2 linked regions of the Pelodiscus sinensis genome follow. The protein of the gene in region 1 interacts with the protein of each later gene in a pairwise test. Links are inferred from orthologs where the notes say so. Each region holds a gene or a part of one and is shown in the gene's direction. Other genes may lie near its edges.

What was found. The genes of interacting proteins can lie anywhere in the genome.
Region 2: the proteins of KLHL40 (region 1) and SPMIP4 interact in a two-hybrid assay, tested with the Homo sapiens proteins (2 studies listed by BioGRID and IntAct). The two-hybrid records come from large-scale screens. The link is inferred for Pelodiscus sinensis from reciprocal best matches to the Homo sapiens genes KLHL40 and SPMIP4.

What each region holds. Positions count from the first base shown.
Region 1 is NC_134712.1:251,313,168-251,323,370, reverse strand, and holds the start of KLHL40 (kelch-like protein 40), read left to right. Parts: upstream 1-6,220; 5' UTR 6,221-6,372; coding exon 6,373-7,518; intron 7,519-10,203. UniProt on the Homo sapiens protein: Substrate-specific adapter of a BCR (BTB-CUL3-RBX1) E3 ubiquitin ligase complex that acts as a key regulator of skeletal muscle development.
Region 2 is NC_134712.1:197,996,942-198,007,420, forward strand, and holds the start of SPMIP4 (sperm-associated microtubule inner protein 4), read left to right. Parts: upstream 1-6,184; 5' UTR 6,185-6,232; intron 6,233-10,479. UniProt on the Homo sapiens protein: Microtubule inner protein (MIP) part of the dynein-decorated doublet microtubules (DMTs) in flagellum axoneme. May serve to reinforce and thus stabilize the microtubule structure in the sperm flagella.

The sequences.
Region 1 (10,203 bases):
GTTCCATATATACAAGATGGGAAGCGACTGTCTAGGAAGGAGCATGGCGGAAAGGGATCTAGGGGTCATAGTGGACCACAAGTTGAATATGAGCCAACAGTGTGATGCTGTTGCAAAAAAAGCAAATATGATTCTAGGTTGTATCAACAGGTGTGTTGTAAGCAAAACTCGTGAAGTCATTCTGCTGCTCTACTCTGCACTAGTTAGGCCTCAGCTGGAGTACTGTGTCCAGTTCTGGGCGCCACATTTCAAGAAAGATGTGGAGAAATTGGAAAGGGTACAGAGAAGAGCGACAAGAATGATTAAAGGTCTAGAGAACATGACCTATGAAGCCAGGCTTCATGAACTGGGCTTGTTTAGTTTGGAAAAAAGAAGATTAAGGGGGGACATGATAGCGGTTTTCAAATATCTAAAAGGGTGTCACAAGGAGGAAGGCGAAAATTTGTTCCTCTTGGTTTCTGAGGACAGGACAAGGAGTAATAGGCTTAAAGTGCAGCAGGGGAGGTTTAGATTGGACATTAGGAAAAAATTCCTAACTGTCAGGGTGGTCAAATATTGGAATAAATTGCCAAGGGAGGTGGTGGAATCTCCCTCTCTGGAGATATTTAAGAACAGGTTAGATAGACATCTGTCAGGGATGGTGTAGACGGAGCTTGATCCTGCCTTGAGGGCGGGGGGCTGGACTCGATGACCTCTCGAGGTCCCTTCCAGTCCTATGATTCTATGATTCTATGATTCTATTTAATACAATCACTTTCATTTATTATGAAACTCAGTGCAAGTGTAAGCGGGGTCAAGGTAAACTCTACCCTGACATCTGGTTGTGAACTGTGGCAAGTGGTACAAAGAGACTTCAGGGGCTGAGCCCAATTTGCATAGACACACCCACCCTGTCTAGTATGTGCTCACAGCAGCCCAAATGGTCACTTTGGCCACTGTGGGATCCCCAGTCTCTCTGTTATTGAGGCAGGGGGGATAAAAGTGTTGTTACCCTTCAGATTCCTTATTCCTGATTTTAAGAGGAATAAGGGACCTTTCAGAAAAGGCTTTATTTTCCGAAAGATCCCTGTCTAGACTGGCACTTTTTTCCGGCAAAGCCCCGAGTCGGAAAAAAGCGGCAGCCATGTTCATGCAAATGGAGCGGGGAAAATTTAAATCCCCGCTGCATTTGCTATTCCGACTTGTCTCATCTGCATCCCTTTTCCGGAAAAAGGGTGCAGTGTAGAATCATAGAATCATAGAATCATAGAATCATAGGACTGGAAGGGACCTCGAGAGGTCATCGAGTCCAGCCCCCCGCCCTCAAGGCAGGATCAAGCTCCGTCTACACCATCCCTGACAGATGTCTATCTAACCTGTTCTTAAATATCTCCAGAGAGGGAGATTCCACCACCTCCCTTGGCAATTTATTCCAATATTTGACCACCCTGACAGTTAGGAATTTTTTCCTAATGTCCAATCTAAACCTCCCCTGCTGCACTTTAAGCCCATTACTCCTTGTCCTGTCCTCAGAAACCAAGAGGAACAAATTTTCTCCTTCCTCCTTGTGACACCCTTTTAGATATTTGAAAGCCGCTATCATGTCCCCCCTTAATCTTCTTTTTTCCAAACTAAACAAGCCCAGTTCATGAAGCCTGGCTTCATAGGTCATGTTCTCTAAACCTTTAATCATTCTTGTCGCTCTTCTCTGTACCCTTTCCAATTTCTCCACATCTTTCTTGAAATGTGGCGCCCAGAACTGGACACAGTACTCCAGCTGAGGCCTAACTAGTGCAGAGTAGAGCGGCAGAATGACTTCACGAGTTTTGCTTACAACACACCTGTTGATACAACCTAGAATCATATTTGCTTTTTTTGCAACAGCATCACACTGTTGACTCATATTCAACTTGTGGTCCACTATGACCCCTAGATCCCTTTCCGCCATGCTCCTTCCTAGACAGTCGCTTCCCATCTTGTATGTATGGAACGGATTGTTCCTTCCTAAGTGGAGCACTTTGCATTTCTCTTTATTAAACCTCATCCTGTTTACCTCCGACCATTTCTCTAACTTGCTAAGGTCATTCTGAATTATGTCCCTATCCTCCAAAGAAGTCGCAACCCCACCCAGTTTGGTATCATCTGCAAACTTAATAAGCGTACTCTCTATCCCAATATCTACATCATTGATGAAGATATTGAACAGTATGGGTCCCAAAACAGACCCTTGAGGAACTCCACTTGTTATCCCTTTCCAGCAGGATTTAGAACCGTTAACAACCACTCTCTGACTACGGTTATCCAGCCAATTATGCACCCACCTTATCGTGGCCCTATCTAAGTTATATTTGCCTAGTTTATCAATAAGAATATCATGCGAGACCGTATCAAATGCCTTACTAAAGTCTAGGTATATGACATCCACCGCTTCTCCCTTATCCACAAGGCTTGTTATCTTATCAAAGAAAGCTATCAGATTAGTTTGGCATGACTTGTTCTTCACAAACCCATGCTGGCTATTCCCTATCACTTTATTACCTTCCAAGTGTTTGCATATGATTTCCTTAATTACCTGCTCCATTATCTTCCCTGGGACAGACGTTAAACTGACCGGTCTATAGTTTCCTGGGTTGTTCTTATTCCCCTTTTTATAGATGGGCACAATATTTGCCCTTTTCCAGTCTTCTGGAATCTCCCCTGTCTGCCATGATTTTTCAAAGATCATAGCTAAAGGCTCAGATACCTCCTCTATCAGCTCCTTGAGTATCCTGGGATGCATTTCATCAGGACCTGGTGACTTGCTGACATCTAACTTTCCTAAGTGATTTTTAACTTGTTCTTTGTGTATCCTATCTTCTAAACTTACCCTCTCTCTGCTTGTATTCACTACGTTAGGCACACCTCCAGACTTCTCGGTGAAGACCGAAACAAAGAAGTCATTGAGCATCTCCGCCATTTCCAAGTTTCCTGTTACTGCTTCTCCCTCCTCACTAAGCAGTGGGCCTACCCTGTCCTTGGTCTTCCTCTTGCTTTTAATGTATTTATAAAAGGTCTTCTTGTTTCCCTTTATGCCTGTAGCTAATTTGATCTCATTTTGTGCCTTTGCCTTTCTAATCTTGCCCCTGCATTCCCGTGTTGCTTGCCTATATTCATCCTTTGTTATTTGTCCTAGTTTCCATTTTTTATGAGACTCCTTTTTTATTTTGAGATTGTGCAAGATCTCCTTGTTAAGCCAAGCTGGTCTTTTGCCATATTTTCTATCTTTCCTACACAGCGGAATTGTTTGCTTTTGGGCCCTTAACAACGTCCCTTTGAAATACTTCCAACTCTCCTCAGTTGTTTTTCCCTTCAGTCTTGCTTCCCATGGGACCTTACCTACAAGTTCTCTGAGCTTATCAAAATCTGCCTTCCTGAAATCCATTACCTCAATTGTGCTGGTCTCCCTTCTACCTTTCCTTAAGATCATGAACTCTATTATTTCGTGATCACTGTCCCCTATACTGTCTTCCACTTTCAAGTTCTCAACTAGTTCCTCCCTATTTGTTAAAACCAAATCCAGAACAGCTTCTCCTCTGGTAGCTTTTTCAACCTTCTGAAACAGAAAGTTGTCTCCAATGCAGTCCAGAAACTTATTGGATAGCCTGTGCCTCGCTGTGTTAGTTTCCCAACATATGTCTGGATAGTTGAAGTCCCCCATCACCACCAAATCTTGGGCTTTGGATAGTTTTGTTAATTGTTTAAAAAAGGCCTCATCCACCTCTTCCACCTGGCTAGGTGGCCTGTAGTAGACTCCTAGCATGATATCACCCTCGTTTTTTACCCCTTTTAGCTTAACCCAGAGACTCTCTACACAGCTATCTCCTACATTCATCTCCACTTCAGTCCAAGTGTGTACATTTTTAATATACAAGGCAACCCCTCCTCCCTTTTTTCCCTGTCTGTCCTTCCTGAGCAAGCCATACCCTTCCATACCAACATTCCAATCATGCGTCCCATCCCACCAGGTTTCTGTAATACCAATGATATCATAGTTGTATTTATTGGTTAGCAATTCCAGTTCTTCCTGCTTATTACCCATACTTCTCGCATTTGTATATAGGCATCTAAGATACTGATTTGATCTTGCCTCCCTGTTGTGCCCTGACCCTCCTTTCTCCTTGCCATTATAGGCCGTAGTCCCCCCCATTTCCAACCCATCTCCCAGTCCCGCACATTCAGCACTTACCTGTGGGCTTTGCTCACCTGCCCCCGACAAACCTAGTTTAAAGCCCTCCTCACAAGGTTAGCCAGACACAGCCCTTCTGTATAAAACTGCTGTGCAGAGTCAGATGGATTTAGCTGGGGTTCTGATCCCATTGGGGAAGTGCACCTGGGTGCTGTGTCAAGTCTCCGTGACTAAGCCCACCCAGAGTTGAGCTGCTCTTCGTGTCTGCGTTGCTCTGCTGTGGGCGGTGACCCCACCTCTGTGCCTTTGCTGGAGGTGACCAGAGGGTCTGGCTCAGAAGGACGGGGTGGCAGGGCGCCCCCGAGGACAGGTAGGTGGTATGATCAGCCCATCAGGTGACCATCTCCAGGGGATCTCTGTGATCAAACCCATCAGAACTCGCACTAGGCTGAGCACAGAGGTGCGCTTAGCCCAGGGGTGAGCAACGCCAATGCCACGCCCAGCCCAGATGACTGCACCTTCACTGTTTCTGCAGGCTCCAGTGTGTTCTAGAGTCATGTCCCCAGGCTCCTTGTTCTCAGAGTCTTGTGATAATTGCCAGCAAACTTGCCTGTCTTTTGGGGGGATTGTGGGAAGACACTGGAGAACCATCAGGGCTCCAGAGACTTATCCTGCATCCTCCCCGCAAAGTAGGCAGGTCCCAGGCTACAGAGGTAAAGCAGAGCCAGGTTCTAACTCGACACCCTGCTGGCTAAGCTAGCTCAGGTGTAAACCACCTGCAAACCTAGGTCAAAGGATCTTCTGCGTGGCTGGGAAAGCGGGTAGGGTTCAAATCTGGATCAACGCCTGGGTTTCCTTATAATGTAGATGCACTATTAATATTTACTGGGAGGGGGAGGGAAAAGAGTAGGGGGAGGGATTGTCCTTTGTTACTGAAACGTTGATGTCTAAATATAAACACTAACGAAACAGGGTGAACATAAAGGTTCCCTGCCTGGCTCGTCACTTGTGAAATGTGCCTGGGAGCTTTTTTGAGTTGTCACAATTGTACTTTAGTATTGTAATAATAACAGGTGTCGTGATGCTACATCCCCTGGCCATTGGGAATGTCACACAGGCAGCAACAGAGCTGGCCCCAAACCTGGATCCTCTTTCTCAGAAGTTTCTATAAACGTCTCCATTGAAAATTGGTGATTTTTTTTCAGCCAGCTCTAGACAGTGGGAAATAGTGGGCAATAGAGAAGGAAGATGGACCAGTGGACAGGATGTCAGCCTCATGTCCCTGCTTCACCAGGCTCCCTATGTGGCTTTGGACAAATCAGTTAACTTCTCTGTGCCTCAGTTCCACATCCGTACAATGGGGATAGTAGCCCCCTCCTGCCTCCCAGAGGGGGAGGGAGGATAAATACATTAAAACTGTGAGGGGCTCAGACACGACAGGGATGGGGTTCTATATAAATATCACAGACAGAACAGACCCCCAGATCCTCATGCTCCAAAATCACAGGCCTCTACCACATGTGCGCTAGGAGAATCTCCTTTAGCTGCTTCCAGTAGAGAGCCCATGATGCACAGCCGAGCATGTAAAACACTTACTCAGGAGCCGATCATGGGATTATCTCCCGTTCTCCTCCAGCACCCCCAGAAAAATTATCCCTCCAAATGACCGGCATAGCTTTGGCTGCATCACAATGACAGTACAATTCGATACCTCGTTGCGTATTTAAAGATTTAGCTTCATTGCGTATTTTTAGCTGGGTGAGTCCAGCACTGGCTGTTGAAGAGAGGAAGGGGGAGGATAACCCATTCACCAGCGAGGGGGTAGGTTTTTTTCCCCTTTCTGATCCATCTGAAGGAAAAGTCATTTCACCTATGACGAAGGCAGCTGGTCACACGCTGGCCTTCCGGAAAAGCCCAGATCCTGTAGCACTGATTCATGGGCTGTCACCATTCCAGGCTATCGTACAGCTGTTCCCTCAGCCTGGTTGTCCAATGTGTCATGTTAGAGGGTGATCGGCTTACACATGCTCTGTCAGGCTGTGGTTATATATAAAGCCCCTCGCTGAGGCTGGGACATACAGCTCCTCGTATTAGCAGCAAGTGCTTCACATTCTTAGCACGCCCAGCTCCCGGGAAGCAGGGGAGAGCCGCACGCCCAGGTTCGGGTAAGTCTCTCTGCCGAGGGATAAGAAAAACAAAGAAGCGCAAACTAGCCGCTACTTTCGAGCATGACGCTGCCGATAGATCAAGCAGAGGAGCTGCGTCTCTACCAGCAGACGCTTCTCCAGGACGGGCTCAAAGATATGCTGGACCACAACAAGTTCCTGGATTGTGTCTTGAAAGTCAAGGGGAAGGAATTCCCCTGCCACCGGTTGGTGCTGGCCGCCTGCAGCCCCTATTTCCGGGCCATGTTCCTTTCGGACATGGAGGAGAGCAAGAAGAGGGAGATCAACCTGGAGGATGTGGACCCCGAAGTCATGCACAAGATCCTCCATTACATCTACACCTCCGAGCTGGAGATCACGGAGCAGAACGTGCAGGACATTTTCTCTGTGGCCAACATGTTCCAGATCCCCTCCATCTTCACAGTCTGCGTCTCCTTCCTGCAGAAGCGCCTCTGTCTCAGCAACTGCCTGGCCGTCTTCAGGTTGGGCTTGATGCTGGACTGCGCCCGCCTGGCAGTGGCTGCCCGGGACTTCATCTGCGACCGTTTTGTCCTGATCTCCCGGGACGAGGAGTTCTACCAGTTCTCCCCCGATGAGCTCATCGCTGTGATCTCCAGCGACTCTCTCAACATTGAGAAGGAGGAGGCCGTCTTCGAGGTGGTGATGAAATGGGCGGCTGCCAAGGACCGCGAGAGTCGGCTTCAGGCCTTGCCGGTGGTCTTTGAGAGCATCCGCTTCCGCCTCATGCCCAAGGAATACCTCAAGGACCATGTGGAGAAGCATCCCATTGTGAAATCCAGCCCGGAGCTGCTCAAGAAAATCCAGATGGTGAAGGATGCCAACGAAGGAAAACTCACAGTGGTGAAAAAGAAGGTGGCGAAGAAAAGCGATGAGAAGAAAGATGGGGACAGCATCGTCAATGGAGATGTGGAAGAGGGGGACGATATCGAGGAGGACATGCTCCCAGGGATCTTGAATGACACAATGCGCTTTGGGATGTTCCTCCAGGACCTCATCTTCATGGTTAGCAGTACCGGGGCAGTGGCCTATGACCCCAGCGCTAACGAATGCTACTTTGCCTCCATCTCGTCTCAGATCCCAAAGAATCACGTCAGCCTGGTAACCAAAGAGAACCAGATCTTCATAGCAGGTGGACTGTATTACAACGAGGACAACAAAGAGGACCCCATGAGCTCCTACTTCTTACAGGTACCGACTTTGTCACTCTTTTGTTACTATGGCCCACTAGAATGGTCACTAATTTTTAGCTTTTGTATAGCACAAAGCCAATGAAACTCACCGCCATGTGTGTTATTGTGTTTGGCTTGCGTATCCCTTATAAAAATGTATGCCACACGCATTTTTTTGCTCTGTCAGAGATTGTAGAGACTGGTTGGATTTTGCTCACTGGTATGTATTACATCAATGAGTTGTTACATAGTAATATGCAGGCCATGAAAATATTTAGATACCGAGTGATCAGTATGTATAGAAAATTCTGTGATAGATAGATGCAGTGTATGAGGATAGCTAGTTAGCTAGATAGCTAGATACATGTAGTATATGAAGATAGACAGACAGATAGATAGAGTGTATGAGGATAACTAGCTAGCTAACTAGAGGTACTGACAACTGTGTCAGGGGAGGCATAGCTTGGTGGTTTGAGCATTGGCCTGCCAAACCTAGGGCTGTGAGTTCAACCCCTTGAGGGGGCCATTTAGGGATCTGGGGCAAAATCTGTCAGGGGTGGTTGTGCTGTGATATAGATAGAGTGTATGAGGTTAGTTAGCTAGGGGTACTAATAACTGTGCCGTAACAAGTTTGGAATTTCCAAATGGGGCTCATGCAGTGATCACTGTGTGTCGCTTTGGCCTGTGCCATGAGGAGGTCAGACTAGATTATCACACTAGTCTCTGCTGGCTTTGAAATCAATCAGGGAGGTTTTTAATTCAACGTTGGTTTGTCCCTCTCCGCCGGCGTTATCTTGCGTGCTGGCTCTGGGCTAAGAACTGTTTGATTTTTCAGCCTTCTGTTCTCTGTCACATCCATCTGTCTTCTGCCACTGAACGCCCTGCTGGCGGTGCCATTCACTGCGGTCACAAGAGAATTGTCCCTAGGGAATTGTGCCCTGGGTGGACGTTGAACCCCAGAAGTAACCAAAGACGTATAATCCGCTGGGGAGGAAGGAGCTAGCGAGCTGAACTAGCTCCATGCTTTCGGGGGCCTTGCGATGGCCTACCCCAATCGTCCTATGGACGGGACCCACGGGGGGGGGGGTCTGGTGTGGGAGCAGCAGGGGCTTCCTCCCTCCACATTAACCACAGCAACGAGAGCTGGAGCAGCCCCGCAGCCTGCTCTGCTCCGCCCCGCTGCCCTCTGCCGGCCCGCGGCACGTGCCGTGAAGTGTGGGCGGCACAGCGGTGGGGAACAGGCTGCCAGGCCACTCTGGCTCCCGCCTCCATGCTGACTGTGGGGGAGGGGCGCTGTCGCTGCACTAGGTGATCCCTTGGGCCAGGCGGTTTGGGGGAGGGGGCAGGGTGGAGCAGAGGTGGGGCAGGGCCTGCAGCAGGGGGGAGTTGACCCAGGCCTAACCTAACGTGGGGTGCGTGGGGGGGATATGGGGGCTGTGTTTTTTGTTTTGCTTTTCACTTTTGTGCACCGCCCCCCCGACTGATTTTTCTGTGGGTCAGCAGCCCCCCCAACCCAAAAAAGGTTGCCCCACCCCTAAGGAAAGGGAACCAAGCTCATCATGAGAGAAGTCATTGTGTCTAATTCAGCTGCACAAAGCAGAGAGGGTGAAACAACAGCCAGCCCCTCCCCCGATGGGCATAATTTTCCACTCACTTTGGCTTAGACACCTGCACAGGATAAGCAGGAAATGTTCATATTGTGAGCCAATTGGGTACCCGCTGGGCTCAGGAACAAGTGTACCCACCACCAGGAGAATTTGAACCTGGGACCTTTAGAGCTTAGTCTAGGCATCTCTACAGCTGGCTGTAGAGGTTAGGCTGTAGCACTCACTTGTTTTTATCTCTTGCTCTAAGTGATCATCCTGCCGCTACGTGGGACAGTGACCCACACTAGGGCTATGTCAACACTGCTGCAGTTTTTCAGACGAGGAAATGCAAATGGAGTGCTCACGTACAAATCTCGAGCTCTCATTTGCATAGTCTCTTCCGATCCTTTTTGCGAAAGAGGTTTTTGCACAAAAAAGCCCTTCGACGGGGCCATTTTCTGGAAAAAAAACCCTTTTGCGCAAGAACCCTTATTCCTTTTTGAAATCCCTTATTTTTGAGGAATAAGGGTTCTTGTACACGCTTCCTCTGACTTCCCTTACTCCTCGTACAATGAGGGTTACAGGAGTTGGCGTGAGAAGTCCTCCAGCTTGACAGCATTTCAACATTATTTCAAAATAACTTTCTGCCGGGTAGACGCGGACTAAAGTTATTTCAAAATAATGCTAGTTATGATGTTAGTTATTTCAAAATAATGTTGCTGTGTAGACGTACCCTCAGACAAACCACCAGCAGCAGGCTTTATTCTGTAAGGAACACAGAACAGAATTACAGTTCAGCAGCCTCCTCTCCACTTGCAGTCTAAGTGCCCCCAGCTCTGTCCGTGCTAAGTCAGGATGCCCTGGCAGGAATTAGGAAGTTCTCTCCACATGCCACCATTTGTAGCCCTCAACTTGTAGTTGCCAAGGCTGCTTGTGAAGCACACCGGAGCTTAGGCTGCCCATGAAAAATACAGCAGCTGTTCCTACAGTCACTTGGGTCCTGTTATCATTTGTCCATTGTATTGCCATCCACGGAGGAACCCCCCATCAAGGAATAGGACCCCACTATGCTAGGTGCGGTACATACCCAGCACAAAAAGACAATCCCTGTCCAAGTT
Region 2 (10,479 bases), about 53 Mb from region 1:
AATATTTTCACCTTTCAGTGTAGAATAGGAGAGCAGACTTTTGAAACAGGCCTTTGGCTTAAGAAAATGCAAATGCATATAAAGTTATTTTTACACTGCCTATCTTAAGACTTTCACATAAATGAAAGCTAGTTATACTAATCTTTACAGTCTTGTACTTTAAAACCATTTCCCAAAACCTGAAACTGAAAAAATATAGGGTGTAAAACCACTGTGTTTGACTGCATCTCTGATGGATTTATTCAGCAATACTGTCTACCTTATATCTTATGTCACTGGCATAAGTATAATGTATATCACCTTTGGGTAATAATGTCACTTCTCTCTAAAAATCAGTCTGTTTCAGCCTCCTTTGGAACACTGAAGTGTGTATGATCTTCTCCAACTCTCCACATTAAAAAAATCAGCACCATGGCAGGATAATGACACTTCAGTAGTTTCCATCTAAATCCTAGTATCCATTTCCTTTATCAGACATGGGCAGGGGCACCTGTTCAGATTTTGGGGGTAGGGAGCAACCTGTGCAGACTGAGATACTGCAGAGGAGGACACAATGAGGACATGGGAAGGGGGCAAAGTGAGTACAGCCGCTACAGCAGTGTTACTGAGCATGCTCAGCACAAGCCAAGCAGCAAATCAGGGAGTGGGATTCCTCCCCATCCACCCTCCCACACATACACACACATCATCATCATCATCATCATCATCTCTTTCTAAGAGCTACTAAGGCACTTGAAAACTCTAGGTTTTTTGGCAGATAACTTAGCAATTAGCTGATAGGAGCACTGCATCTAACTCCCATATAAAAAAGAAAATTAAATAAATATTGAGTATCAGAGGGGTAGCCATGTTAGTCTGAATCTGCGAAAGCAGCAAGGAGTCCTGTGGCACCTTCGTCAGATGCATCTGACGAAAAGGGTCTTTGCCCACAAAAGCTTATGCTCCAACACTTCGGTTAGTCTATAAGGCTGTGTCTAGACTACATGCCTCTGTCGTCAGAGGCATGTAGATTAGACACATAGGCAAAGGCAAATGAAGCCACAATTTAAATGATCGCAGCTTCATTTAAATTTACATGGCTGCCGCGCTGAGCCGACAAACAGCTGATCAGCTGTTTGTCCGCTCAGCGCGCTAGTCTGGACGCTCCCCTGCCGACATCAAAGCCCTTTGTCGGCAGCCCCGTTATTCCTCGTGGGATGAGGTTTACCGGGGCTGCCGACAAAGGGCTTTGATGTCGGCAGGGGAGCGTCCAGACTAGCGCGCTGAGCGGACAAACAGCTGATCAGCTGTTTGTCGGCTCAGCGCGGCAGCCATGTACATTGAAATGAAGCCGCGATCATTTAAATCGTGGCTTCGTTTGCCTTTGCCAAAACAACAAATCTACATGGCTCCGTCGACGGAGCCATGTAGTTTAGACGTACCCTAAGGTGCCACAGGACTCCTCGCCACTTTTAAATAAATATTAAGACCCACTCAGCTCTAATACTAATATTTCTTAAAAAATAACGACTAGTCTAGTAGCACCTTAAAAACTAACAAAACATGTTGATGGTATCATGAGCTTTCGTGGGCAAAACCCACTTCTTCAGATGACCACAGATGTTAGTCTTTAAGGTGCTACTAGACTATTCGTTATTTTTTAAAGTTTTTCCTGTTACGTACTAACTCGGCTACCCCTCTGAAATGAATATTTCTGACATCTTATGGTAAGTCACTTAAGGGACACTGATTAGACTTAAAATTTTAATGTATATTCTTATTATGTTACTAACTCTGTTGAGAGAGAGGGGGAGAGAGTGAAAGAGAGTCTGTTAGGGACTCCGGGATTCTATCTTAGCTCTGAGAGGGGAGTAGGGTCTAGAGGTTTACAACAGGGGGCAGATACATTTGGGCTCTATATAAGAACATCAGATCAGCCATACTGGGTCAGACCCAGTAGTCCATCTAAACCAGTATCCCATCTGCCAACAGTGGCCAATGCCAGGTACTTCAAAGTAGGAATAAGATCCTCTCTTAGCTTTTTAGATTATCACTTCACAGTGAGCAGATGTTTATAGGGAACTATCCACAATGATTCCAAGATCTCTTTTTTGAGTTGTAACAGCTAATTCAGACCCCCATCATTTTCTATGTATAGCTGGAATTATATTTATCTATGGCCACATCTAGACTGCATTGCTTTTCCGGGATACCAGAGGTATCCCAGAAGAGCAATGTGGTGTCCAAGGAATGTGTCCGCTTTTCTGAAAAGAATTTCGAAAAAGCAGACACGCTCTTTCACCATCCCTGTAAAACTCATTCTGCAAGGCATAAAAGATGTGTCGAAAGAGCAGTTTTTTCCTAAATTTGGCACCACGTAGATATGCCAAATTTCAGAAAAGCCTCTTTCTAAAGTAAATCAGAAATCTCTTTCCGATTTAACTCTACAATCTAGGGGTGCATCTAGACTGGCAAGATTTTGCGCAAAAGCGGCCACTTTTGCGCAAAAACTTGCCAGCTGTCTACACTGGCCACTTGAATTTGCGCAAGAGCACTGACTTTGTAATGTACAAAATCAGTGCTTCTTGCGCAAATACTTTGACGCTCCCGCTCAGGGATAAGCCCTATTGCGCAAGAATACTTGCACAAGAGGGCCAGTGTAGACAGGCACCTTAATTTTTTGTGCAAGAAAGCCCGATGGCTAAAATAGCCATTGAAGCTTTCTTGCACAAAAGCGCATCTACACTGGGCATGGATGCTTTTGCGCAAAAGCACTTTTTGTGCAAAAGCATCAGTGCCAATCTAGATGCTCTTTTGCAGAAATACTTTTCACGGAAAAACTTTTCTGTTAAAAGTATTTCCGCAAAATCATGCCAGTCTAGACGCAGCCTAGATGTAGCTTATGTGCATTACTTTGCATTTATTAACACTGAATTCCAACTGCGTTTATGTTGACTAATCACCTAGAGTTGCGAGATCCCTTTGGAACTCTTTGCAATCCACTTTGGACTGATATTTTTGTATTAACTACAAATCTTGCTACCTCACTGTTTACCCTTTTTTTCAAGATAATTTATAAATAAGTTGAACAGCACTAGTTCACGTGATCATCTAATGATCCTTCAGTTACTTGAATGATAAGCCTTTTGTTACCTTAATCATCCTGTTGCCCTCTGTTCATAAACAAACTCCCTGCCCCAAAAGGCAAAGCTGGCAAAGTTAAGAACTCTATCTGGGGCTACAGCAGGTACTTTAAGCAGACTACAAGTATCAAATATAGGGATTCAAACTTCAGGGGCTGCAGCCCCCTAGGCACTCTAAATGGAACCCCTGCATGTATGTGGGGATACATTTGACTTTGTATAGTAAGTTTTCTCTTGATTGAATTTAAGATACTTTTCTTCCTTTAAATGATTTTCCTATAAGTATCAGAAAAATTCTTTTTTATGAGAAATGATCATTCCTTTTTCTGTTTCCATTTATTAAAATGCATTATGGCACATTAAACTCATTCAGTTCTAAGCAGGATGGGTGACAATTTAAATTCTGCCAGCTTTCTTTGCTATCTTTGATCTTTCCACATTAGTTAATGGAGGGTTTGAAATGGCTGTGACCTAAGAAGATACATCTGCCAGGGTGCCTAATTTATTGCTACCCAGAGACAGATGATTTTCTACTTGCCATTCAGATCTGCTAAAATTCTTTTTTCCCATTGATTGATCCACTTCAGCCGTATAGGCTAGATGATGCTAATAGCTCAGAGCCCTTAGGAAGGGGAGATGTGCAGCTGTGTTAACCTGGAGCAGCACTAGGAGGCATTATGGCTCAGAGAGGCAGAATGCCTCCTTGTGCTGTGGGCAGAGAAATCTCCAGCACCTCCTTATAGGGCTTTTTCTTCTCTGCTCTCCAGAGTTCTGCTTGGTTTTGGAGCCATGGTTCTGCTTTTTCTATGCTCTGACCTTTTCCCCTTTCCACTGAGTTGCACCTGATATGGGGAGAAATTTAGCAGTAGCTTTTGGGTTATGGGAGGACAAAAGTTGCAAAGTCCTGAAATGAAGAATGAAAACATCCCCTTCAGCAAGCCACAAGAATGGAGCATTCCCAAACGAGCAAGGCAGAAAAGAAAAGAGCCAGAATGTACCTATGTGGAACAGAGAGCTGGAAAAGTTGCTGTGGAATCTCCCTGCAGCCATTCAGTGCTGAAGCCTGCAGTACGGCTGTCAGTTTGGTCAATGTTGTTTCAAAATCATGTGAAAGGCACAATTTCTTGAGTTCTCTTGAATAACCTGGAAGAAATCCTCCTCACATGTTCCTATTCTTTGCCACATCGCCACTTTTGCCATCAAAAATGTTGCCACGTCGCCACTTTTGCTTCTTACTTTCCCAGGGTTTAAAAATATTTAATCATATGCTTGTAAGTTCATGTTCTGTGCCCTTAAGGCATATCGACACTGCACGGAAATACAAGCCAGAGGACTTGGTGTTTCCAAACCTGTGCAGGCCCTAGCAAATAAACACTAAAATGTACTTCACCAGTCCAGATAGGTAAAAAGTAATACAAGTTGAACCTCTCTAGTCTGGTATCCTCGGGCCTTGAATTTGCCGAACCACGGGAGGTCAATATTGTCTAGCAGCATTACCAGCACTTCCACAGCTTACTGGGCTCTTAGAAGACATTTAGGGGTAAATTAGAGCTAAATAACAGCACAGAACACTGAGAGTCAAGACTGGTGGGTGTCATCTTATGTGACCACGGAAATCTTGGCCATACTTGTGATAAGTGAACATCTGTTGAACTAAAAGCTTGCCGGACCACGGAAGTTGCTGGACCAGAGAGGTTCAACTTGTACAATGTTCCAAAAAGTTCAGTAAACTGGCTACTGGGACTTCTGAATGATAAAATAAAGTATTTTCTATGCCTTAAGAGGAGCTGCTTATACAATATTCTTTGCCAAAGGGTTGCTTTCCATTTTCTTCCATCTTCTTTAACCAAAAAAAGTAGATCCTCCTATTCCTACTCTGTTCGCTGCACACAAAAGTGAAAACCAGTTTTCTTCTTAAACTTACCAGATTATTTTAGCTCCAGCTCATCTCCAAGAAGACACACATTGAAGAAAGAAAGCAAAGCCAATCAAGAGACCAAAGGAGCTTTGTCAAGTATAGGAAATTGCCATACTGGATCAGACAAAGGGTCCATCTAGCCCAGTATCTTGTCTCAGGGGGTATGTCTACACTACCACCCTAGTTCGAACTAGGGTGGTAATGTAGGCAACCGGAGTTGCAAATGAAGCCCGGGATTTGAATTTTCCGGGCTTCATTTGCATAAAGCCGGGCACCGCCATTTTTAAATGTCCGCTACTGCGGACTCCGTGCCACGCGGCTACACGCGGCACGGACTAGGTAGTTCGGACTAGGTTTCCTAGTCTGAACTACCGTTACTCCTCGTTTCACGATAGTCTGAAGCCTAGTCCGAACTACCTAGTCCATGCCGCGTGTAGCCGCGCGGCACGGAGTCCACACTAGCAGACATTTAAAAATGGTGGCGCTCGGCTTTATGCAAATGAATCCCGGGAAATTCAAATCCCGGGCTTCATTTGCAACTCCGGTTGCCTACATTACCACCCTAGTTCGAACTAGGGTGGTAGTGTAGACATACCCTGATAGAGGCAACCACACAATCCTGCAGAGAATGGTATAAGATTCCTGTCCTATGCAGATGGAAAGGACATTTCTGTTTCCGGGGCTGGGCTATAAGGAATGATGCTTGTCTGATATCATGCTGTCTTGGGGCTTGCCTACTTTACAAAGAGTTGTGTACATGATCCCATTTGTGAAGAATCTCCCTGCGTTAGCTACTTGATTCTTCAGTCGTGTATAAACATGGTAGACATTTTTAACAACCATGGTGTTGTTTTGAGCTACATTGACTGCTAATCCCAGCACCACATCTGCTAACTCGATGCTTCTAGGTTGTTCATACATAGTAACCTTTACTGTCTCAGAAGAAGTGGAGCAGGTCATCAGCTACCCCTTCCTTTACATCCTTCTCTCCAGATCCTGAGGATTCCACTGATTACTGCTGCAACACCTGCCATTTCAAACCACAGGGGCTAGTCCTGGGTGAGAAGCTGCCTACATCACAAGCTGTACTATAGGATATACTCAAAAGCTACAGCCATCTGTCATTATGATGTCAGAGCCTACCCTGAGTGCAGGTCTGAATATGCCCACAGGATACACCCTGAGCCAGAAGGTAGGCTTGAGTTTATAGTTTTGTCCCTATTCGATTTCCCACTAGGTGTTCATTCTGCAGTCTGCCAGACATTGAGCTGGGGGATAAGGAGGATTGATCACTACAAACTGGCCCCCAGCACTGAGAGCTCCCTGGAGAATGGGTTAGCACTATGTTTGCAACACCTCCTATGCTTTAAATTTATACAGAACTTTATGTTTTTTCAAAGGAAGCAACAGTTTTAGCATTCTTCAGAATGGTCAGTATAATTTCTATCCCTCTAAGCTGTTTGTAACAATCCCTGAAGCCTGAAACCAACTGTATGTTTTAAAAATCCATTCTCTCACTATTCTGTCAGGGAACGCTCCTGGTTTACTATAGAAAGGTTGGTTAATAAATGCCAGATTGTTGATGTTGGGCTACTTTCTATTTTTTTCTATTTTTTTTTTAACATAGAGGTCCCAATATAGCTTAGCATGGCTCCCAGGAAGCGGTCACCAGGTCCCTCAGCCCCTAGCTGCATGAGTGGTCAGGGAAGTTCCACATGCTGCCCTCATGCCTGCAGACACTGCCTCACAGTTCCCATTGGACATGGTTCCCAGTCAATGGGAGCTGCAAGCCAGCACTCGGGGTAAGTGCAGTGCATGGAGCCTTCCTGTGCCTAAGGGCTGCAGGGACCTAGTGTCCACTTTTGAGAACCACCCGGAGCCACGGCAGGTAGGTAGAGAGCCTTAGTCCTGGGCCCCTGCTGTGTCATTTCCCAGACTTTTAATGGCCTGATCAGCAGTGCAGACTGGAGTCTCCAGGGTCTTTTTTAGACTGGGAGTTGCTGTCAAAAACTGGATGCCTGGCACCTCTAATGGTGGCCTCCAGTCCCTGGGCAGCTCTCACTACAGCCCAGCACCAGCTTCTGGCTGGGTCAGGGGTAGGGTCTTGTGGGGAAGAAGAGGAGCAGGTTTGGGGCTTTCTGGTAAGAAGGAAGAGGCTGACTTCACCCCTGAGAGGATGGCATGTGCTGAGTTGCTCTGAAGGGAATCCAGGACAAATGATGCCCTAGGGAGTCATGCAGTCTAGGACCACAACTTGAAATGTACCTTTCAGCTCTGTCCTTTCCAGTTAGGGATGGGTGGTCACCTTAGTGTTCCCCAGGGACAACAGGTGAGTGTTGGGGGGATTTCCTAGAGGCAACAGGGCCTTGAGAAGGCCCTGTGAGTATTGGAGGTTCACCAGGGAACACACTGGGTGGTTCAGCTAGGATCCATTTCTAGTAAGCAGGGACCAGATTTCCTCCACCCACCAGTGTTAATCCAGACTCAAGAACATTTACATGATCAGTATAGACTTGCAGCAGTATCACTAGCAGAAAAATCTGACCACTGTTTCTTACCTGTTTGCAAATTTCAAACCAGACACTATGATCATTGGTTCCTTTGCAAGGTGATAGTGAGTGACTGAATCTCACGCTTCAGCATATGGTCACAGTAGTGGTCAAGTAGGCCCTTGTACATGAATGTCAAATACTCACAAAGTCCACATGCCAAATCAATGTGCCCACCAGGTACACCCACATATCTAAAGGAGATTTTTTTTTTTGCACTTCTTTTCAGCTTACCATATCAGCTACTATCTGATAAAGGCAATCAAAATATAAATTTGATCTCACACTTCCTATCTATTTCCTAGTACATAAGACACTAAAATAATATATTGAACATAAGAATGGCCACACAAGGTTAGACGAAAAGTCCATCTTGCCCAGTATCCTGTCATGCTTATTTGACCCCCTCAAAGAATACTAGTAAATAGGTGCGGCATGATTTCCCTTTACAAAAACCATGTAGACTCTTCACCGACAAATTATGTTAATCTGTGTGTTTGACAACTCTGTTCTTTACTATAGTTTCAACCAGTTTGCCCAGTACTGAAGTTAGACTTACTGGCCACTGATTGTCAGGATCACCTCTGGAGCCCTTTTTAAAAATTGGTGTTGTGCTAGCTAACTTCTGGTCATTTGGGACAGAAACTGATTTAAAAGATAGGTTATAAACCACAGTAAGTAATTCTGCAATTTCACATTTGAGTTCCTTCAGAGTTCTTGGGTGAATGCCATCTGGTCCTGGTAACTTATTACTGTTTAATTTATCATTGTGTTCCAAAACCTTCCCTAATGACACCTCAATCTGGGACAGTTTTGTCACCTAAAAAGAATGGCTCAGATTTGGAATCTCCCTCACAGCGTTACCCGTGAAGACTGATGCAAAGAATTCATGTAGTTTCTCCACAATAGCCTAACCATCCTTGAATTCTCCTTTAGCATCTTGATCATCCAGTGGCCCTATTGGCTGTTCAACAGGTTTCCTGCTTCTGATGTATTTAAAAATATTTGCTACTATATTTTGAGGTTTTGGCTATCTGTTCTTCAAATCCTTTTTTGGCTTTCCCAATTATATTTTTACATTTCAGTTGCCAGAGTTTATGTTCCTTTTGATTTTCCTCACTAAGCTTTAACTTCACTTTTTAAACAAAGCCTTTTATTCTCCCTGCTTTTTTACTTTTGATTAACCACAGTGGCACTGTTTTGGTTCTGTTGCTATATATGGGTATGTCTACACTACCCTCCTAGTTCGAACCAGGAGGGTAATGTAGGCATACCGCACTTGCAAATGAAGCCAGGGATTTGAATTTCCCAGGCTTCATTTGCATAAGCGGGGCGCCGCCATTTTTAAAACCCCGCTCGTTCGAACCCTGTGCAGCGCGGCTACACGGGGCACGAACTAGGTAGTTCGAACTAGGCTTCCTAGTTCGAACTACCGTTACTCCTCATTCCACGAGAGTATCAAAAATGGAGTCATAGAACACAGGTTTAATAATTCATGTCACACACATCTCAGATAGTAAGCGTGATTTGAGCACTAAAAGCTCCTTTTTTCCTGTATGTTCTCTGATAGTATTGTCTGGTAAGAGACAATTAGCTCTGTGTCTAGTGACACTTAAGTAATTAGCTACCACATGAGGCAGAGGCTAATCCTGTCAGATACTCAGTGCTTTCAGCAGCTCAGAAGTACTGGCCCTTAATGAAGTGTGATGGATGGTTGCCTTTAGTATCCTGTTTGCCTGATCAGGAATTTGTTAAATTCTTGTATATGTACTGGGGAGTTGTAACAGCAGAGCGGGGAGCAAAGTTTAGGGGATCTCTTCCCTCCCCCCCCCCCTTCCTTGTGAATTCCTGCCATCTGAGTTGGGAAGCCCCACTAATGTACACTTGTCTTAGGCAAGCAACCTGTCTCCAGTGGAGCTTAGAAGGTGTACAGGAGTATGGCGTTGCCAGTAAGTGTATCAACCCTCCACTGAGCCCTCTGACATCTCCAGGAACCATAAAGGGTGTCTCTGGGGTCTTATGCTTGCCCTATGAGCCCTAGGCATGTGGTAGGCCAAGAAGGGACAACATTGATGGAGGACAAATAACAGAATGGAAGAGCTGAGGAGCAGCACAGGCTGCTGGAGAAGGGGAAGGAGGAAGCAATATATACTTGGGTTACGTAACATGCAAAGCTCCAAATGGGAGATTTGTTGGGTAGAGAAGGTAAAGAAACTCTAGTGCTTCCCAACCCCCATGTTCTCTCCACTTGTGTCTTGAGCTGCTTCTCCTCTGCCTGGATCCCTCTGCTCCTCAGAGTTCCCCCATTACTTACAGCAAGAGATATCCACTTCCCCTCAGATCTCTCACTGCCCCATATCCCCTGATCCCCACCTACAGACATAGTCTCCCTCAGATTCTCATACACTTCACAGCTTATCCTTTCTCTTCCCAATGTCCTCTTTGAGAGGCAAGAGGGTTCTGCCAGAAGCAGTAGAGTCTAGGTAGGGAGAGGGCATTAATGTGGTTTATGATGCAGAAGGAAGTAGGGAAGGACTTGTGGCTTTTCAGAGAGGATTCTTGTGCTGTGAGCCAGAGGAGTTTCATTGTGTGGATAAGTGAAACACAGTGCTTACTCCTGTTCCTGCCATCTTCTCCTGCATGGTTAAGTTGTTCCTATGTAATCAGAATGGTTGCACTTTGCTCTCTGTAGATGACTGCACAAAGCTACAGGCAGTAGAGAATCCTGCATTAATTCTGTTGCATCACTTTTCATCCCAAAGTGTTTTCCATGCTCCATAGTTTATCTATACAATACGTACAGCATCACCGAAATGCAAACATTTCTGGCTTCAAGGGTACAAAACACCTTCCACTTTGCTCCCTTGCCAAGTTTTTCCTACTTTTATAC